2 linked regions of the Drosophila melanogaster genome follow. The protein of the gene in region 1 interacts with the protein of each later gene in a pairwise test. Each region holds a gene or a part of one and is shown in the gene's direction. Other genes may lie near its edges.

Region 1 (11,470 bases):
CCTTACGTGCGTGGGCGAATGGGTAGGAGATGGGGCGGGGCTCGGTGGTCAGGGGTCAGGGAGTAATGGGTTAAGGGGGGGCTCGCATTTTAATAAGGTTTGTTGGTTAGCTAGTTTTGAGGTTGAGCTGAGTGTAGTTTTGGTTTAGTTGCATGCGCCCACACCCAGCCTCTTTTGGCTTTCGGGGCTGCCAGCCATCTGGGTTGGAAAAGCAAAGGAAAGTGGAAAGTGGAAACGAGTAAGCGATGAGAAAGGGGCTCCGGGGGAGTCTGATAACTTAACTTGAATGGCTATTGCACCAATTTTTTATTCAGACATTAAAGCCCAATATGGCATAGAAAGAAGAGTAATTATCATTTATCGAAATGATGGAAATCGATTGGATTCTAAAGGATTGAATTGGCTTTATTTTGGTGCCATTGAAAGTATATCCATATGTATTAGAAGGAATTGGATCGCGGAAGTATCCAGCTTCTTGTTAAAGTCAAGACATATATATATTTCCTATTCGCTATCAGTTTTCCGAATGTAAAAAAATATACCTCACATTTTTTGGCTTTCGGATGGGAAATTAAGTTTGAATTATTTGCATTTGTCTAGCAACAGGAATAAAGCTTCATAAGAACGGAGATGCAAATGCAAACGAAATATTATATATCAACAGTAATGGTATAAATCAAAAGTCCTTGTCATACCACCCTTCACCATAATAGAAATTTATTGCATACTATACTACATTTGGGACTATGCTTTTTTTTCTTTAACAACGTTAAAAACTTGAAGCTAACCGGCTGCGTTAGCAAAAAGTGTTAAAAGTTATTCGTCAACGTCACAACATCGTTGATGATGCCACACACACCGCAACCAGCAGAAGATAGGTAAACAAAAAATAAAATAACTCACAAAAACATATGCCAAAAAAAGTGAACACATTCAGTGTTCATAAAGTCATCATGTTTTCATATTTCAAGACTGCAACCACATTGCTGTTTGCTCATGTTCTTAAAGTGGTAACTGCCCAAAAAAGAAACTCCGCAAAAAGTTTCTGGCCAGCAAAAGGTAAACAAACTCTCACAAATTCCCAGCAAACAAACTTCAACTTGAACACACCCAAAATGTCTTCATTTTCACCTGTTTCCAAATGCTGTGCCTCCTTTTGCTTTCCACATAACGCCTAACACAGTTGCAAATGTGCAGAGACGACAACACGGGCGGCAAAAGAAAAACCTCAGACCCAAACATATTTGCATAAACAGAACCCCACTTTGATGGTTTTGCAGGACGGAGCCAGAACGTCCAGGGTCTTTCAACTATCAAATGCAGTTGGTTCAAAAGCTCCAAATTTTTATGAAATATTTGGTTGCTTTTTTTGCTTTGCTTGGCGAGGAGTTCTTGTCCTCTGGCCTACAGGATATATAACAATGTAATGATTTTATTTGGTAGCGATGATATTTCTAACTTTCGAAGTGGTTTAATAAATGCTACTACCACGCCCGAAAAGAGTGTTCTAAATATGCCTTAAACCATCGCAAACCCCTGGAGTCCTCTCCACATTTCTTGCTGTTGTGCGGCTGTGCTTGGCATCATCAGGTTAGTGTTTAACCTCTGCAGAGTGCTGCAGTCCACTCAAAAAGTCTTTGACTTGCCATTCCACAACCCCTTTTGGCCAACTTGGGCCGGGCAAAAAGGCGAGGCAACCAACCAGTAAACCGAGGCAGCCAGTCAGCCAGAGTTAACCAGTCGCCGTAGTCATCATCATCCTAGCCAGCTTCATAATCTCCAGCATCATAATAGCCGTAGTCGCTGCTCGGCATAGCTTTTAGCCACTCGGCTTGCTCTTTAACGCGTTAACGGGTTAAGTTGCCTTTTGTGACCATGTTTTGTTTTTAGCCATGCCTAAAACAACAAGGGTGCACCACAAAAATACGTTATTGACACCGTATTTTTTCTCACGACTGCAAGTAAAAAAACAAAACAAAACACCTTGTTACTAAATATAAAATCGCAATTTAGGATAACAAAATAGTATATAATACAAAAGTTTAATCGTGTTAATTAGTATCGAAGTTCTATGGCTTACAAGCAAGTTTTTATTTTGACGTGAACAACGGTATTTGGCTCAGTGTACATGGATATAGAAACAGAACACGGACGCTTTATGTGTAATTAGCCACGCCGACTTAGCCATAATCCGTGCGGCCGCCGTGTTAAATGCCTCGTGGACAGATTTTAAAGCCAATTCTGAGGTGACTAAAGCCACCGCAGCGGCAAACCGACAGATTTATGCCATTTTAATCGACTGGGGAAAGCAGGAAAAATGCTGAAACCACGACCTCCAGGAACTTAATTTTTCCGAGCCGCAACAACTGTGGCCACTTCATCTCTTCGACCGCGCATTCATCTCACTTGCAGGCGGAATGAGACCAAAAAAACCAGATGGGGGTTACTGAGTGTCACTAGCTGACAACCCCCCGATGAACATAGGCGTGGTGTCCTGTCTAGGACTTAGCACGACTTCCCCCCGCCGATTTTCCAAGCCACCCATTTCTGTCTGAGACTTGTCTCACTGCCTGCGGTTTTGACCCTCCAATTTAAGCCACGTTCTCCCTAGGAAGGAAGTTTATAGCCTACGAAATCCAAATTATCCAAATAAATCGAATAAGTAATTGTTAACAGTGTACTCTAAATCGTGTAAGGATATATAATAATATTTTAATGTGTTGAATAGAGTAGTAAAGTTTATTCGCTTTGGCATAACATTGTCATATTATTACTGTATTATGTTATTACTTGTGAATATCTAAATAGTATTAAGTTTCGTATCTAAAAGTTTGTTGTATGTAGCTCAGTAAGTCAGTAGGGCTCATAATAACGAGGAAACTTACAAAACTATCCTTGGCTAAGGCTTATGGGACTGGCATTAAAGTAATTCAAGACCATTTCCATCTCTCGGGAGCCAACGACTTATCCTCGGGCAATCATTACTTGCTTAGCACATCACGCGTCTTAAAGGGAAGCGAACCCTATTTTCTGGATTTCATTTCAAAGCATTTTTTCCACGCCCTCTGCGGCATTTTTCTTCCGCAGAACTTTGTCATAATTTTGCAGTGAGGCACGTCGACTTCCACGGACTCGGGACTCCGCACTCCGGACTCCAGCGAGTGCCCGGAATCCTCTGACGCTCGGCCCCGGGCCTCAGCTAGGCTGTCAGCGTGATAACTCCTTTTCGTGTTAAACATTTTCAACTCGCCTTGAGTGCGCGGCTTGTTCGGGTTCCATGGGCTATATGGGTTGTACGGGTTTTACGGGTTGCACGGGTTGTACGGGTTGTATGGGTTATGCAGCAGCTGTCGCCTGTGCGGACGCACACAAACAAGGTCCTGCACTCACACTCATGTGCACTGGAAGAAACTTCTGGGATTTTCTAATCGTTATTCCTTAAAGCGCCGCTGCTTAAGAATATGAGTATGAATCCAAATGTATCATTTTTTATCTGTCTTTACAACTTTCTTTATAGGAACGAAACTCACACTTTTTCTGAGAGAAGTAGAAGTACTTATATATGTTCATAATTAAAAGATGCTTAAATTGTGGTACGAACACCTGACATTTTAGTGGGCTGCTTTGGGGTAAAGCTTGTTTACAGTGCAAAGATGCTTCCCTGTCGACTCTGTCACACTCTGACTGCCGAGCGTCCATTGGATGGAGGGTGGTGGCAGGAGGACTTCGCCGCGTGTCCTGCGAGGCTACGACTCTTTTGGAGTCAACTGCATGTCAGTTTTGTTCGCTCCTCCAGCCTTCGCCTGCTTTTGATTACAATGCTGGTTATGTTCTCACCCTCGGCGAGTGCGAGTGTGTGTGGCAGCGCCGTCCTGCTGGATCCTGCATCCTGGATCCGGGATCCTGGATCCCGGCATCGTTTGCATCTGATAACACGTTAAGTGCGCTTGTTTATCCAGCAAGATAATTTGGACAAGTGTCACCTCTCGGATTTTCACGCGCCGGCTGCAAAATAAAAAGTAACCCCTGCGAAAATGTCGCAACTTTTCTGAAATATGTACGAGTATGCATGCATGCAGGTCGCCAGAAACTAACTAACTAGCTGCAGTTGGGGTTAACTGCCGCTGGATCAGGTGCAAGACCGGGCTGGGAACCTGGCTTTGGTCCTCCTGGACCGGAATTGTCTCATTTTATTTTGCGGTGCCCGCCGTAATTTCGCTTCCAGCCAGCGCTTCGTGGCATATTTTTTGTTTTCCGGCAGAGGGGCGTACGCGTAATTGGTGGTTAGTTTCGGGTTTGTCCGCAGCAAAAGGCAGATGCCACCTGGTGGCACAGTGGGTGCTGGCACTTTAATGTTGGCTTAGGCTGTTGATAAGCTCTGATTTACTCTATTTTAGGGTAGATATCCCTCTCAAAGGGCTTTACTTTAAGCGCTTCTTATGGCATGGAATTATGTATTTTCCTACAGTTGTTCATTATTTAGAGCAACTTTGTCGAATATTTGAACCTAGTATGCAATTGTGCTTCTTAAAAGGCCTTTAATATATATATATATATATCTATATAGCTGCCAAATAATCCCATTACCATTGTGCACCTCCGAATTCTGCTTCTTTATAGCCTGGCCACTAAAATCAGCACAAATCGATGTGTCTTGGAATTTTCGGACATTCCGAACAATCCGAGCTCACCTGACCATCGCAATGCCGTGCCAGAATTAACCCACATTAACCGGAGTCAAGTTGAAATCGGGAACATAATATCCTCGGAAAAACGCGCATGTCCGTCAGAATCCCTGACGCATGCAACATTTTTTGACAGCAATCAGATGTTTTGGAATGTTGGCGCCCAGACACACACACACACACACACACACAGACGCACGGGCAAACGCTCACACCGACGGAGAGAGCTTTGTTTTTGTTAACCTTGCCTAACGACGAATGGCGAAAACAAAACAAAAACGTGGAGAGGCAACAGCAAGAGTCGGAAAAGCGGGAGCACGTGCAGAGCGGAGGAAAATGAAAATCTTGGCTGCGCGTGCGCACAAAATCCGCTGAATGGAAGTGCCAGAGAGGCGAAAGCTTCTTTTTGGCCTGCCTTTCGGGGCGTCCAGGATTCCGAGTTTGTGGCCAACTCATTACGTTCGAATGTCAGTAGTTGAAACAAGGACGCGTTACGTGCAGAATACCCAGCGCGCAGCCAGGGAAAATCGCATAAATCGCCCAGCGCGTTGAGTTAAGCGGATGAAGTTAAAAATTTAATTGAAATACAGCAATGAAAATGCAGGAAAATTCTGCTGCTTAAGTGCTAAAGTGCTTTAGTGCCCCGTGTGTTCTTGTGATTTTTCCCAGAGCAAAATTGTGCCGAATCAGCAGATAGTCGTTACGTATACGCAACGTGTGCGGAGTGTTGTTTTATTGATTGCCCAGCAGCAGAGCCACACTTAAACCACTGGGAAAATGCTGATGAAACAGTGAAGATTTAAAGAGCAGCCTCTCCTCCGAGGCTCGAGCAGTGAAATGCGTGCAGCTGACAGTCAAGGTCGCCGACGCCTCATGTCACCCACAAAAACATAAGGATCTACAGAGCAAAAAACAATTGTAATAAAAGCAAACGAAGCATCTTCGTAGGCAGTTTCCAGTCATCAGCAGCTCATCAACTAAGCGAACTTAAAGTAAGCAAAGTGCCAAGTCAGTCAAAAAGTAAAAGAACAAAAATTGAAAATTCCTTTCCTGCCGCACTTGCAAGGATGGGGCAAAAATTTGGTGTGGAAAGGAGGTAATCCCACCGAGAAAGGCTGCCCTCTTTAGTGTGTGTGCCGCAACTTATCTCCTCGGTTAGACACACATGGATACATTATGTACTCCATATACGATATGGCAGGAGATACATACATATATAGGGGGAACAATCCTTAAGGCGGCTACAAAGAATTGTCTGCAGGCAGCCTCTTGTCGCTGGATTCGTACTTGTACTCTTTCTTTTAGGACTACAAACTGTTGGATTACTTGTGTATTGGTTATTTTCGTGTGCCCCGGCTGACATAGTTTTTGGCTTTGGCTTTTGTCTATTATTTACGGCCTGTGACTGCATTACAGGTAGCCCAGCCAAACGAACTTTGAGACAGGTCAGGACACAGATTTCCGGTCTCGAGTGCTTGAGTAATGAAAATGTGACTACGCCGCTTTGTTTTCGGATCTGTGGCAGGCAAATATTTAATGGAATTGAGTTTGTAACACAAATGAGGACTTTTTGGCAGCGGATGAGCTTGGTACTTTCATTTAAATATTTAAAAGAATTCCATGTTAAGAAAAGTGGATAAACTCCTTCAAAAACTTTCGAATATAAGCACAAAGTCAAAAAATATATCTATATTGGCTTTATTGGAGACGCGGTTGTGGACTTAATTATGTTTAAAAATATGTTAAGCCTGACGTTTAAAAAGTTTATTGGCGTTCCTGTAACCTAATTTAACCAACAACATTATTGTTTTAAAGGTTCAAGTACATTTCAACAGGATTCTGAGAATTATGCTCTTCATAAAACGCAGACCTGCCATTCGTTTGATGAGTAAAAGGTATTTGAAAAGTTATGCTTTAAATGAGTCTCAAAACTTTCTTGCGCTCGTATCTCTCTCTAGTGTCAAGTTAATTTCGCCTTAAAGATTGTTGATGACGACCCATTTGCGATATCTACACTCGCCCCTTTTAACTTTGTCATTCTACGGGTACAAGAAAAAGGAGGCGAATATCAACTCACATCAAGTGGAGGTTCCCGCCCACGTGGCGTATGAGTTATGCATTATGGCTTGCCGCTTCGAGACTTTCCCCAAATATATTTCCATCATCAGAGGCACTTTGTTTGCTCTACGCATTACGACAAATATTTGCCCATCGGACAACATATTCTTGTGTTGTCTTCTGGCGTGTTCTGCCGTATTTTACTCTGCTTTATTTTCTCTGTGTTTTTATACTTGTTTGTTACTTTGGCTTGTGGGCCGTGCGAGAACGAGGTCAGAGCTAAAATCTAAGCCGTAAGCTCTACCCAAAACAGCTGATGTCAGCAGAATATGTGTGCACGTAACGTGTTTTTTGTTTCAGATTCTCCAGAGAAACACACAGAAAAAACGATGTTTAGTATATCAATAGGTGTGGCAGTGAAAATTCCATAGATGGGATTCCAAAAATCGAACTTACTAACAGGAATGCTTGTTGTTAGGCAGCAGAGAAATGTTAAAAACATCAATCATGTTGTATTGAGAAGATTATAAACGTATAGATTAAGGAGTTCAAAAAACTATTTTGGTGAAATTACTGAAAATGGTGGCTGTGCCACATTATCTTTCGTACTTATCAAATCAATTAAAATTATAATAGTTTAAAAACCATTATTATATTAGGATATGGAAATTTACAGATGGAAAAATAATGATAATAATAACCAAAATTCTATTCAAAAATGGTAATTTTTCCTATCCCACATAACTGTAGTAAGTCTATTTGTAATCGCGAGTTACCTTATAAAAATTGTTATATCTGAGAATGTACAGAACAAAGCCATTTAAATATGGAAAACCGACAAAACTGTAATGGAACTTAGTGATAATTTTTCCGAGTGTTAGGCAGACCTCCAAGTTGATGAGCAGTGGGTTTGGGCTTGGAGGTGGCGCCCCAACAGCCACTCGACCATGGCCGAGAGCGGTGTCAAAGACTTTTTGCGGACTTTGATTTATCTGCAGTGCAGCCCGCAGGCGACTGCTGCACCCACACATTCACACTCATGGACTAGTTGTGAGTTCTGGCATAAATTAAGTGTTTATTTTGGCTTGAGCTGGGATATCGTTACATTTTATGCATGCCAAACTTCCTCGGCTGGTCATCATAAATTTATTCTGTGTAGCCTGCTCTTAGGCGCTACTTGCAGTGCTCGCTTGTGTGGGTGGCGAAACGAAAGTGTGCCAAATCGGAAACGGAAATGATCGGAATTGAGGAAAGTACTCCCTTCGATTTTATTTGGCATGTATCATTGCCGATATATAACAAGAGGCGTCCATTTTACTATTTAAATTCCGAAGTAAAATTTATTGACTTATAAAAATGTAAAAAAGTACAGGCTTTAACTTGAATAAACAATTCAATTCAATTCAATTCAGCTGATCACTTATATGAGCACATAAGCCTATACATAATAATCAAGCTAGAAGAATTATTTGTTTTACTTATATTCGAAATAGAGAGGCAACTCGGCAACTAAAATGACTAATAAACATTGGTTTTGCCACTTGGCCGCACACACAAGATTCATGTTATTTATATAAGCTTCTTCCATTTTTAAAGCTAATGCCGTATGCACATTTCAATCTCGGACCGGAAAATAGAGAGAGAGAGGTGAAAGGTGGCGGGGAGAATAGGAAACTCTCGCTGATTTATGTGCTAGTTTTCCTGGCGATTTCTCGCTTTTTTCTGCGCTTTCCATTTTCGCTTTGGCCCCCTCTAACTAGTTTTTGAGAGTTGTGCACCAGCTTTTTACTCCAATTAAATTTTCATGCCATATGAGCATTTCGCACAGCAACTGGGACAACAACAAGGACGAGAGCTCACACAACGAGACGCTATTTTCAATTTCCGCTGCACAGAAGTACAGAAAGGAATGCGATTTTTAACACAATTTCACTTTGCCGGGCGAACAACAGGCTGCGAGTGTGCCACTGTGTGAGTACTTGGCATAGAAAACGTTGACGACTAAAAACAACAGGCCAGACCCCATCGAAAGCTGGCTTCCCATGCCCATTGCCACCCATTGCCACCCATTGCCACCCATTACCACCCATTCCCACCCATTCCCGACCAATTCCATCCGACTCAAAACCCGACGACCCGACACATCGACCCAGAAAACCCTTCGCCTCACTCACCGACTGACAGTTCAAGTCAAAATGCCCTTTTATTGAGATTTAAGCATTTTTGGGTCATTTCCGAATTGTGTTTGCGCAACAGAGATAGACGCTGGCGGAGCGTGAGGGCACGGCCGGCGTTTAAATATTAAAAACCTTGTAACGAAACTACTAGGAAGCCCGGAAAATCAATAACCAACAGCGGCCAGAGTTGAAGGCTAAACGTGGCGCTACAAAAATAAAAGGCATCGGACGAGCCAGTGGAAAAAAAAACATTAAGCCAACAACCAAAATGGGCATTTTGCATGCATAGATACATGAGATCTGCGAAGGATGGCCGCACATGATGAAAAAGGATACACATGGCTGCGAAAAAATGAAACAACGAAGGGGAATGAAAATGGAAAAGTTGTTAAAACGCTTGTTTTATTGGCATTTAGCCTCAGCTTGTTTGAGAACACAATATAACACGATATTGTAATGTAAATAGTTGAGCCAACAGTGTTTTTTCAACCGTACTTTTCAGCTGTAAAGTAGGGATTTTCCCGCAAGTACACAAGCGATTCAATGGGCTTTTAAGTTGCAGTGGAATTTTACACAGAATAATTGTCGCTGGGCGAATTATGAAAACAAGCTTATCGAGTTTTTATAAGGGCTATTTGTAATGAATGCCTGATTTTAATGTTTCCCAATGGCAGCACAAATCTATGGCTAATACTTAACATTTAACAAACGTCATATGTAGAATATTATTATATATTTTATGTAAGTTACAAATAATGTGAATACTCCACATTAGCCCCGAATTCCGCTTGGAACATCAATCAAATTAAAGTATCAGGCATATGTAGCACATCGCTATCCAAATGCGGAACCGGGATCCATTTGCTGGTGGATATATCAAATGTAAATTACCATAATGTGACCGACATTTTATTCGGGGCTTCCGTGAGCATCGTACTTTCACTTTGACTTTTAGCAAAGCGCTGCTATTTTATATGCCACCACCCCACTCCCCTTCCGTGCAAAACCCTTCTTTGGGCCATTTCGGCTGCTCTTGGCCCTTTCGCGTGTGTGAGTTTAATATATCGCGCCTTATAATGTACGTACTGCTGGTTGCTGTTTGCTCTTTGCCTTGCATGCTGAAAATGGAACTCGGAACTCTCGGCGTAAAAACAAATTACATGTAGGTTAGCCCCCGTTTTCCACCATCCACCACCTCTTTTTTTTTTTGAGCCATTTTGCAGTCGCTTCAAGGCCACAATAGCGGTCAGGCCGTAGTCGGTCAAAGTTGGTAGCTGTTTGGGTTTGGCTCTGCAATTATATTGTACTGTGTTCCTTTTCTTTTCTTTCCTTTTTTTTTTTGGTGGGGCCAACTCTCGGCTCTAATGAAAAATGTTCGCAGGCAGAGCGGGCGCTTTTCATGTTTTCATAAATAATTAAATTTCTCGTTCTGTTTGGCCTTTGTGCGCGGCGGGAGCGGAATAAAAAATGAAATTGAAACGGGCCCAGGGTCGCCACTAATTAGGAGCGTGTTTCGCTGGACTCGGCTTCGCTCCCAGAACGGATGCATTAAATTTGCAGGGAAAGGAGGGGAAAGTTCGAGGGTCTCCATTCAAGTGGCTTCTTGTCAAGTTGCTGTTGCCAATTATGCAAAGTTTTCGGAGCCAACTTGACGTGGCCAATTGCAAACTGAAGCACTTGGACTGGCTTTTCAACTGCTGCTGTATTTGTTTTCGATACTGCGCCCAATGGTCATTTGGCAAGTTATGACAGAAAGTAAAGTAAAATGGTTGTCTAAAAAATATTGTTAGAACATTTTACCAAATGCAGCAATCATGGTTCACAAATTGAATTTTTTAATACACTTTTCGGTGCACAAAATAGACCAATAGTTTAGTGGATCAGATTGTATGCTGCATAAATATCACTCAAAGTTTAGGACATTTTATTTGGATAATGAATGGCTTTATGGGAAAGAAATAGAAACCAATTATTTATCTAAACGGTCGATGATTATATCTAATCCTTATAAGATTTTTTGTTTGATAAATTATGCCTGAAAATGTACTAATTTCCTTGTATACATATAAATGAACATCATAATAAAACGATTCGGGATTAAGGCTATTTACAATTTGCTTGATTTTTTTAGATGTCTTTCACATATCACTATTCTTTAAGTTTAATGCGAAAATCAGAGTTTAATCCAGACAGCCTGAATAGTTTACTGATTGAAGTGGCTACAAATTTCGCCACATGGCATTTTTGTTTGCCAGCCAACTTCTCACATTGTCAGCTTGGCCACAATTACCCAAGGCAACTGAACAATCTGTAAGGGAATATATAAAACTTTGTCCTGATTAAATCGATGACAACCTTTTCCGGCGAGTTCTTCCTTTTTTCCTTTCGAGGATCGAGTGGGTTTCTTTTCTTTGCTGTATTTTGCCAGGCGAAATTGAACTGTGCCATTGGCAGGCCCAGGAGGGCTGTTGTTTTGTTGTTGGTTGCTACACTGGTCCTGCTGCCACGCCCCCTTTATCCTTGGAGAGATGTAACTTCCACGAGGTACTA
Region 2 (11,210 bases), 7.3 Mb from region 1:
CACTCTCCATAGAATGTGACTGAAACTGGATTTAACTTACTTTCTTACTGCTTTTAGAGTATGCAATTTCCTTGATTAATGAACTTGTTCAGCGCAATTAAAGGAAGTTCGCAGTTGTGTTTAAACTTAAAGCGGAAATAGGAGCAATTACGCAATTAGATTATTGACTAGAGGCAATTATAAGGCCTCTATTTTCAGTGTTTACTGTATATAGCATCATTACTTGTAAATTTACCATTTTTCTAATGCCAATATCCGGGTGTTAAGAGAACGTTACGCCCACATGGCACGAATCCAAAAGATAATACATTATTGAAGTTCCATAAAGTAATCCACTTTATATGGGCAACCATTACTTGAGATTACAAAGACAAATATTTATATATGCTCTATGCTTTCATAGAGTGATTGCCTCATTCGGCACTTGAGATCGTTTAATTCGCACTTAAAAAGATACGCAAATTTCGAGCTAATTTTCAATTGTACGACTGTCAGTTTTGGGGCGAAAAGCTGAAGTGAGACCATTAAGACGACGCGACACTTGCAGTTTTATACACTTAAACATAAGTACAATAAACACATATTGCACATAGGCCTTAATTTGACAACTGAGAGGCATGAAATGACACCAGAGACCAGACCAGGCCGCTCATTAATCTGTCTAAATAAAGAACGTTCCGAGCGAAATCAAGCGAACATTTTGTGTTCATTTCGAAGTCGGAGCAAAAGTTGTAAATTGATTTGCCACCAAATATGGCAGACAGCTCGCTCTAAATTTTTTGGTTATTTATAAATTCGCCAAAAGCAGCAGCGAGCATTAAACAAACGCATAAAAATCATTCATGGATCATTTTGTGTAATAAATCTAGGCGAAATATTTCCATTTTTAGGAGGGGGAGTTCCAACATTTCGGTGCTCCAAAGTTTTTCATTTTGGTTCGCAGCATGATCGGAATATATAATTTTCGAACTGAGATCATTAGGAGCCACAGCAGGTGGAATTCATCGAATTGAATGTTTTCATAAATTACCAATGCTAAAGCGAAACATTTGCATAGGGCAACCCCCTGCGCCAATATTTTCAAAATCATCTTGCTACCATCCAGTAGGAATTGTGTTAAAACTTATTAATTTTCTTTGGTCAAAAGCGTTACACACAAGGGTTATAATAAATTTGTTTTATTGCAATAAATCGAGCGCTAAATGAAATCACGGCTTAAGCTATTTAATATGGAAATTGTTGTTTTGTTTAAGATTAAAAAGGGTATTCTACTTAATAAATGACTTAATATATGTTTTTTAACAAAATGATTATTAAAAAAATGTGTAATAAATATTAGGAAATGATATTAATATTATTATTATTAATATATAAAAGTTATGTCAAATGATATATCGGAATTCCCCTAATAAAAGCTTTTTCAACGTTATTTATTCGCTTAATTTACAAGTTAAGCGACCAAAAAAAATCACAAATTAATGACTGAGCTTTTAAGATGGTTATTTCGATCACTCCGGCTGTGGCTCATTACCATATTGGCTTTATTTATTTATTTTCGACACATTATTTGTATGGATTTGAAATATTTACACAATTCCCAAAATGAAATATGTAACTCGAATTCAAATCAAACAGTTTCCAAAGATGCCGCCATCGGTTGAACTCGAATTGGAATATTTGGATGACCCTAGCTTATCGCCTCGTGCGATGTCATAAATTTTGTGAAAAATATAGTTTGGCTTGAGCTTGAACCCTATATTTGTAATAGTTTTCGACTGCAGATAAGCTGATTTAATTTTCAATTCCAATTCCTGAGGGTCGCGCAATTGAATCGTATTTTTTTGATTGTGCCAGAATTTATGTTCTGGCCTCTAATATTTAATGGCATTTTCTTGGTGGCTAATAAAACAGATTTCCACTTTATTTTATCGCTTTCTGTCCGTCGTGGAAAGTTGCTTAGCATACTCGTTTTTCGATTTTTCATCTTTCACTGCCTCGCCCCATGACAATTTTTAATCACCCCAAAATTAACCGTGCAACACCAACGCATTTTAATTGTTCGCCAACGAGGCACAATTTATGACTCGCCTTGTGTCCCCAATAAAATTCAAATCGAATCGATTGGGAATGAAAATCGAAATGCACTCGCACTTTGATTCGAATCCCCCTTCATTGGATTCAATTCTATTTTAAGGTCTTTTCAATTTGCATGCCCAATCGATGATCATCAGCCAATTTGATTGGTCCAGACAGACACATTCGCATTTGGACTATATATTTTCCAGTTCTCGGTTTCAGTTTTTTTTTTTTATGAATTTATGGGCCGGCAGTTGCATTTTATTGCTGGAAAGTGTAGATTTCGTGTGGAGCATTTTATTTATTTTCGCTTTCCCAAACTGGCAACAAAGATTTTCATTTACTTATGATTGGATCTTGAAACGGATCAGATTACGCGAAATATTTAATAAATTGATTGTATGTTCGTAAACAATGATATTTTTTATTTCGTGATTCTGTCGTTGAAAATTCTGTTAACAATTGAGTAATTCATAAATATGTTGCGACCACAATTTATTTAAGGGATTTTGAACCACAAAATAAAAACATATTATTCGGGAGCAAACAACATAGAACAGCCTACATACACAGTTAAAAATTCTCGATTGATATGTTATATATTAAAATTAATAAAGGGTAAATGGTATGCATAAATCAAATATAATATATACAACAGAATTGAAATATATTTTTAATAAATGTATCTCATTTTATTCCAGTAACTTAGCCATTTTCTCAGTGATATTAGATATCAGCTCACCCCTTATCTTCTGTCAAAGCCGTAATAATTCACTTTTGGTTCAAACAAATGACAAATGCAAATATTGACAAACGACCCAACTGAATCAACTGACTGTCAATCTCCCCCAAAACGAAAACCCTCCCTATCTGTGCACAAAATGCAGCTAAATGAAACCCTTTGTGGGTTAATAACAATATTGACAGGTGAAAACCATTAAACCCTCTGCCGGAAGAGGAAGTCGACCGCTCTAAGGATATGCCCTCGATAAGGACGCTTCCCTTTCTCCAAAATTTGGACCCAAGTGATTTACGGTAGCCAGGCCAGCAAAGATAGCCAAGATCTTTCCATATTAACAAAAGAAGATATAACTACTAGACCTACCTGACGGAACCAGCCGATGCCACATTAACATTACAATTGTCGGTCGGAAAGTTAAGCCGTAAATTATCGGGGTTCTCGGGGAAGTGGTTTCGTCTATCGGTATCACTACCAACAAAATTAGCATATTTGGCCACTGTGTCTTTTCGGCCAAGACAAGAAACGCAGGCCGCGTCGACAATGGTTTAGGTAGCCGTAAATTGTCATGGGCTGGCAATGTTTTGGGCCTATGCTAATGTCGATCGTTGTCTGCCCACACTCAACTTTAACTCCCGGATCGAATTGAAACGGATTGGACGGATGGCATCGGTCCTCATGTTTGTGTATCCCTTGGGTTCGTGCTGTGGCATAAACAAAATCCGAGGATCGTGTTGCAGTTGCATTCAAGTTGAGGTTACTGCACCTTCGGGACGGTCCATTTGATGGTTTCGTATTTGTTCTCAGCGACCAGCTGTGTTTTCACACTTACTCTGGGAGTCAAGGCTGACAAAGATCTGAATAGTACAGCCTGGGATGTCTGCAGTAAAAGGAAAACCTTGGAAGGAACACTAAAAAAATAGAACAAAGCCCCACCAGGTGAATGAGCAAAACTAATCCCGTGAAAATGCGTCATATCTGTTGTTGTTCCTTAAATAAGAACTTTATGGTGTTGGACTTGAGATGAGTGATTCAGGTACTGTAAACTGTTGTACAAAGCATTAAAACACCGTTTATACTTCATTATGATAAAGAAATAATTAAATAAGTGATAAATCATTCCTTTTGTATCAAAAATATACTATACTATCTATCTGTATAGAATGAGAAAATCTATTAAATCATTTGTTTTGGCGCCATTTCTATGATTTGCTAATCGAGTATCTTTGCTGATGGGCAAAAACGTCGCAAGGCGGAAAAGATAGGATCTGTTGATCCCTCGTCTGGAGGAATATATCACGTGTCCTCGAACCGCGACGTCGGCAATACTAATGTCAATTTGTCAGGCTACCAAATCGAAGCACAGCAAGTGCCCGTCCCACCCTCCAAGTGGCTTCTCTATACCTCTTCGCGGAGCTGCACATCCCGATCCCGATCCCGGAGATTCAGATTCTGATTCTGAAGAGTCGTTCTCGTTGTCGTTGTCGCATGATATATGAGCGCCCTGCCCAGTTGCTGCTTCGGCTGCCGTAGCCGCGCCTCTTAACTCCCAAGCAGACACTGAGAGAAATTCGTACTTACTTTTGTGGGATGACTTGAAAAATAAATTTGGATTGCTATTACTATCTAAGAGACTTGCCCTTAAATTATTCGATTTAACAAACAGTTCAGTTAAAATAATAAATTACAAAGATGAAAATAAGGTCTTTTAATTATTTTATTATTATTTTTTATTTTTATTTTTACAGTTGAATTATATTATATATAGTTTTTAATTCATTGGATTATTTCATAGGTAAGGACCTCAAAACTATGCTACACTTCTGTGTACTTATAAATTTTATGAATTAAGGCTTGAAAAGTCTTTAACATTTAAGATACTAGCAGAAAATCATTAAAAACGAATACACATAATTCTGAAAAATATTTCTTGAATAAATTATGTAAAATATATTTTCGTTTTTAAATTTTGAATCAAAGGAAAGCGAATTTTAAATATTTTTTTCCTTGTTGTATTGCACATTTTTTCCGAGTGCATTCTTCAAGCCGAAATTGAGCCGGTTATCTTCGTCGGCGTTTTAGCCTGTTCTCTCTTGTTTGCCTCGGCGTTTTTTTTTTGTTTTGCGTTCGTGCTTCGTTTTCACGTTTTTGTTTTCGTTCCATTCGCTTCTCTGTCTCACTCTCTTCTCTCTCTATCGACTGACTATGGATCCGAATCCGAATCCATGGTGGGTTCAGTTTCTTGCGACTCTTTGCGCGGTCAACTTCGCCGATCGGTCGGGCATGCGCGTCCGTATAACTCGTATCTGAATAATCATAAGAGTAGGAAATCGAGGCAGAAGTAAAAACCCGTCTCGCTATATTCGTCGACCGTGTTGTTGGTGTCTATCTGTGTCTTTTGTCAATGTTTTTAACCCAACTCCACTTGAGGGGGAGCCAATCCGCCTTTCTTCTGAAAATTTCTTTCAAATAATACGAAAATCGTATGGAAAATTGAAAAATTGTGAGTGTTGTGTGCAAAGTGAACCACGGTGATCGTAGTTACGGTCAGATCATCTGAAGAATCAGAAACACGCGCCTTGCTCGATTCCCCTGCTTATCAGGCACATGCCTATATTATACAATTTACCAACAGTCTTTTACAATCTGTTCGCCGCAAAAGTTGAATGGAATAAATTTTAGTCTTTTATTTTGCACGAAACGTGACACTAAATGAAGTAAGTTTCGACTATCTCATCTGTATAATCGACGTTTTTTGCTGTTTACAATTTTTGTAATATTTTTTGAGGAAGTGTAAAGTGCTGCAACAAAAACTTATTACTAATCTTCAGGACAGATTAAGGGGTTTCTGTTAAATAGTGAAACATAATTCAAAATGAAATATAATTTAAACTTATTTAAAAGCTAGTGTTTAAGGAATTATTGAAGACAATTTTAATTTAAAAAATTTAAGAACTGTTATTTCTGAGTTGAAAAGAGGATAAATAACATTTAAGAAGAAATTGAGTTAGCGTTTGTTGAACGTCGATAATTAGTTAAAAATGTATGAAAAACTATATTATATCCACAACACACATTACAACTTCATTTCTTTTCTTTTTGCAGCATGTTAATACTGAAACTTCCCAAAATGTTTAGCCAACTGTGGCTTCTTCTGATTCTATCGCTCTTAACCCTAGAAGGCCCACAGCCTTCGACGGGCAGTGGTTATACGACAAAATCAAGTGTGGATTTGCTGGAAAACGATTCGCGATACATCTCATATCAAGGTGAGTTCTCGAGGTGGGCGGATTATCAAAAATTACTCGAAACTGTGTCAATTGCACGGCAATCAATCAAGTTGGCCACTTGAAGCGGTGGAACTGTAAATTGGGTTGATGTCTGTCAAAGTTCTAAGTGATTCCGAGAGTCTGCTGCAATCGATTGCACAAATGTTCGGTTCGATCGAACAGGTGCCATTTCGAATACAACGAATACACCCATCTGCCCAACTGTTTGTATTTGCACGGAATGTCAACAATGATCTCGATTTAACCGAGTTCCCCAACAAACCGCTTTTATGACACCCCAATACATTCGTGTATCTGCTGCTTTTAATCAGAAAAAGTTTCGCATTTTGTTAAAATATTTGTTCTTTTTTTGTGATTTTTGCACTGAAATGTATCTCGAAGTCCGTCTTAAAATGCGAACTCAGCCCAACGTTGTGTTGACAATGATTTTAATTTTTGTTTAGCGCTTTTTTATTTTATTTCGCACTTAAATATTGAAAAGTATATGTTTTACCAATGAATCAGTGAATCTTTTAAAAACCTTGAAAAATATGGGTTAAATAAAATTGAGCTTAATTGTGCCAAGATGCCAAAATGTTTTAATAAATTTGCAATATAATTGCTGAGATAATAATTGCTTATATAATAATTGCTAATATAATTGCTAATAAAACTTCAATTAAATTGCTTAGTATTTGTTTTTACGATTTTGTGCAATCTTTTTCTTACAAAAATGTTTTTATTTTCTTAACAGATTTAATGTCGACGGCCAAACGATTTTACGATCCCGAAACGACCTGGTATTCGGAAATGCTATTCGACGTGGCCAGGAACCAAGTGATTGTCGGCGCCAGGTAAAAACCGGGAGGCTATTGTTATTAGTTATTATAGATTTTGTTTCCGGCCAATTGAGTCACGGCTAAGCCGTGTACCTAGTCATTATGACTGTTTTTATTTTTCCTGTTGCGTCAAAACCCCAAAGATATGTACTGTTTGAAGGACTTGCTTTTTAATTAGTCTCACCGATAAGTGGGTCATTATTTTGGGCATTGATAGCGATAAGAAATGAAAAGGGAAAACACCCCCGAAAATAAATCGTCACTTAAGCATTTGTTAACTTTGGGTTATCAGCAGAGAGGCATTACGTAAAATTCGACGATCAGAAGAAAATAAACAGATGCATTGCGTACGTAAAACGGGTACTGATTATATTCGTCTTCTGTGTTTTTTTAGCGTATTACGCAAGTTACAAAAAAATACACAAAAGTGTATAAAAATGAAAGTGCACGCACTGGTATACCAAAGATTTTTTACATATCAACCAAGATCGACCAAAAACAAAAAAAACCCCTCGTCGAGAACTTATCTCAAGTACCTGCTGTGCGCAAGTGAATAAATAAAGATAATTGAGTGTAAAAAAAAGAATAAAAAAATTAAGAAAAGAGGGAAAGGGAACAAAACCGAAAAGGTAACCAAATAATAATATTGCAGCGCCGAGGGAGAAGTGGTATACTCCGTTTATTTGTTGAGCAATTTAATATACGCGTTTCGAGATACAAAAGTATCTGTCGCTTTAGCCGGGTTACTCGGTTCTTGTAGTTTACTTTTCATTTACGCGTCTTGAAGTTTGTTTGTTTCTGCTTCGCATAGATATGGATGCGATACTACTCCACCTCTGTCGGAAAAAAAAACACGATAAGATACACACATGGACGCATGTGTCTATAGTGTCGTCATGTTGATAAACCCACCTTAACCCATTGCTGCCCGGGAAGGGAAGTCGTTTATCATGTTCCCTTGTCGTCAATCATTTGTCATACTTTTCAGTTTCAGTTTTAGTTGCCTTTTCTATTCTTTATTGCCTACGATTTTCACTTCGACCATAACTCCACTCTGCCATATTTTTTGTTGCTCTCTTATTTACCAACCTCTGAATTATGGCATAATGATAAGAGCCCGATATTAAAAAAAAAAAAAAAGAAAACCGTTTGTAGCGAAGGGCAGTTGCTCCATATAGAGGGAATTATGGTGCTGCCTGTAAGTAGGCGGCCAGATAGGCAAGTGGGCTTTATTAACCACATAAAACGTAATTTATTTTTATAATGTGTGGGCTTAGTTGATAGAGCCAACTAAGCAAAGGGACTAGACGGGTTTTTAGATAGCACCAGCCTCTGGGATTTCTTTTAACTTTTTGCCTTGAGACTGTGCTCAATACTTTGAGCTGCTTCGATGAGAGATAAACTTTTATTTTGTGAAAGTTGAGGAGGTCTTGATTAGATATATAGGTTAAAGACTTTACTTCGATTGACACAAGTCTTACTTAGTGACTGCTATGAATCAGTAATGTTTGCTTACATTTTTGCAAAGAAATATCAAGTAGTCTGAACTTTATGAAGTAAATATTGTAACTACCTTTTTGTTATTCAATTTTTGGAATATACACTATGGATCATTACAATCTCAAATCAAAATCAACTGAAGATTGCACGTAGCGATTTAATTTGGTACGAGATAAGTGCCACCACTTTTGGTGCACTACCAATTTCAGTCCTAATCTCTAGTAAACCACCTGAGGTTAACTATCATTCTTGTTAAAGCAGTTTCGATAAGGCTTCCTTCGAATAAAATAGAAGTATGGTGCTCGCTTTGAAGACCCGCAAAAGTCGAAACCCACCGAATGACCCTCGAAGTAAACCCCCAACGTAAACCATCTCTAATCGCAGACCGCATTTTAATTGTGGCAATCCGGCCGATCACATCAAAACTACACAGTCGAACAATAGTTTTTATGATTTCTGTGGTTTAGATGGGCAATTGCCAATGAACTGGTAGTGGTACTATGCACATACTACATAGTATCTGTAAATGTATCTGTATCTGTGCGGTGTATTTGCTGTGCAGATGTGCTGGTGAGTGCATGCTCCTTGTATCTGGACTGCAGCACACTTGACACGACTGCAAGATCGGATTACTGCCAGCCGCCTGTTGACGGGCTCGGCTCTGGAAAATGGGAATGGAATCGAGAGTGGTGGAATGGGCATGGAATCGGGACTGGAATGGGCATGGATATGGGACTCCTTCAGTCTTTTGCCCGTGTTCCATGACGAGTGACGAGGCAACTTGCTCGGTTGGTAACCGTCGCGTAATTTTCTGTCATGAACAGGAAAATGGAGCGGCATGTTGGTACACTGAGAGAAATTAGCTACTTAGGTTTCAAAAAATTTTATTATTGAGACAAATTATATTTTCTTTTTAATACTTAGCTCGAATTAATGTTCACTGGCATGTTGTTTTCAAATTATTATAAAAGTCTTTCTTGTACATCGCAGTGCATTTGGCTCGCAGTGTCCCATGCAACTGGCCGAAATTTGATATAGACTGCATTAAAATAATATTGCTTTTTGTTTTCGCTTTCGTTCGCTTGCCTTCGAGCCTTTTTTTTTGTGTGAGTTCAGTTCCTACATTACCAGTACATTATTTTCATATGTAGGTATTATTTTTCGGAGGGGTCGCATAAGCGTTGTATTTTATGTTGTGGCCTGTCGCAAATGGAGCATGCAAATGACCTGCTGGGAACCATTTCAAATGTTTATACATATGGCCAAACAAAATGTTATATAAACAAGGAAATTATTTTCGTGTGTTGTGCATTACCCGTAATATTGTTTTTCCACTCGAAAATCTTGGAGTGGACAATGCCACGTCAGGGATTTTATTTCAATGGGAGCGCAGTGTCTGACTGTACAATATTAAATATGTTTTTCTCATAGCAATCCAGCTTAAACTAAACATTTGTGTAATAAATCATTATGGTTGTTGGCTAGGAACCACCCAAACTGCCCAAATTACTTGAAACTCAATCTCTGAACTACAAGATACAAAAATGCACCTGTGACAGTCGCGTCAACTCGACGGCTACTGGAGCACACGGATGCCGAAATTGAAATCCAAATTAATCAAACCGTGTTGCACCAGAAACCCGGCACCCCCCTCGCAAACAGGGGCGTTTGCAAAAGGAGAGGGGGGTGGGGTCAGGGCGTTTTGCGAACTGTTGGCAAGCATTTTGCATATTTCTATTAAAAACCCCTTGAGTGGCTCCAGACTGACACAAAGCTATTCGAACGCGGATTGATATTGAGAGCCTGGAATGCGGTAGCGTAGGCAGAGCTCATAAAAGTGGCACAGTCATAACTGCCTATGAAGAAACATGCTGAGCAAGTTAAACATTTCAGTTCCTAGCTTACAAGTTTACCCAAGAGAATGTATTATAAATCCAGATTATGACTTTAGCTATAAGAAAGCTACAAGCTGGACTTTTACTCATTTTGGAATTACTATTTACTACCTAGATTTACCCTTTAATAACACAGTTAAATGTCGAATCAAATTTTCCTTTAGTCAAGTGAAAAATTCGCTTTTCGAAGCTTGCCTGTAAATGCTGCAGTTTCAGCCGAGATTAGTGGCGGCCAGTGCGACGGCAATTTTAATTACAAGTAACCCATTTAAGCCCGGCCAGAGCGTGATTTGCCGCCAGTGGAGCGGCGGACAGGACGCCCACGCACCTGGCGCACCGGCGGCCACTTGGCCAACATGGTGGCATGGTGCTATATAGTATAGTTAGTACCTGGCCAAATCCAAATGACTGGCAATAGGCGACAGGCGGCGACACCGCATTTTTAATAGCCCCAGTCTCGGTCGCAGTCTCAGATCGAAAGAGAGTCGAATACTCGTATGTATCCGTATCTGGTATCTGGTATCTATGGGGCCGCAACTTCAACTCCAACTCCAAACTCCACTTGCTCCACTGCGCTTACAAAGAGGCCTTTTTGTTATCTTGTCGCGCTTGTCGTTCAAATAAAAGTTGACGGCGGCGCAAGGTGTGCGAAATAAGCGAATTGCGAATGCTCAGGGGTGCACACACACTCGACCATATCGATACGAAAATACTTCCAGATACAGATACATTACATGTAGATCATTTTTGTGGTCTGTTGTGCGGATAAGTGGGTGGTGTGGTGCAAATGGGTCATGGCGAGTTTAACAGCGTTACGGTTTACCCAATTTTTATGGGTTTTTTTTTTAAATATTTATATTTTATTTCTTTTCGCCCGAGTATTGCACAAGTT

The links.
Region 2: the proteins of CG32206 (region 1) and Sema5c interact in a two-hybrid assay, tested with the Drosophila melanogaster proteins (one large-scale study listed by BioGRID).

Annotation. Positions count from the first base shown.
Region 1 is NT_037436.4:19,406,581-19,418,050, reverse strand, and holds the start of CG32206 (uncharacterized protein), read left to right. Parts: upstream 1-5,138; 5' UTR 5,139-5,677; intron 5,678-11,470.
Region 2 is NT_037436.4:12,075,669-12,086,878, reverse strand, and holds the start of Sema5c (semaphorin 5c), read left to right. Parts: upstream 1-5,048; 5' UTR 5,049-5,527; coding exon 5,528-5,532; intron 5,533-5,920; coding exon 5,921-6,084; intron 6,085-6,838; coding exon 6,839-6,938; intron 6,939-11,210. UniProt on the Drosophila melanogaster protein: Regulates the motility of migrating epithelial cells by providing guidance cues within the migratory environment and may also play a role in development of the olfactory system. May act as a positive axonal guidance cue.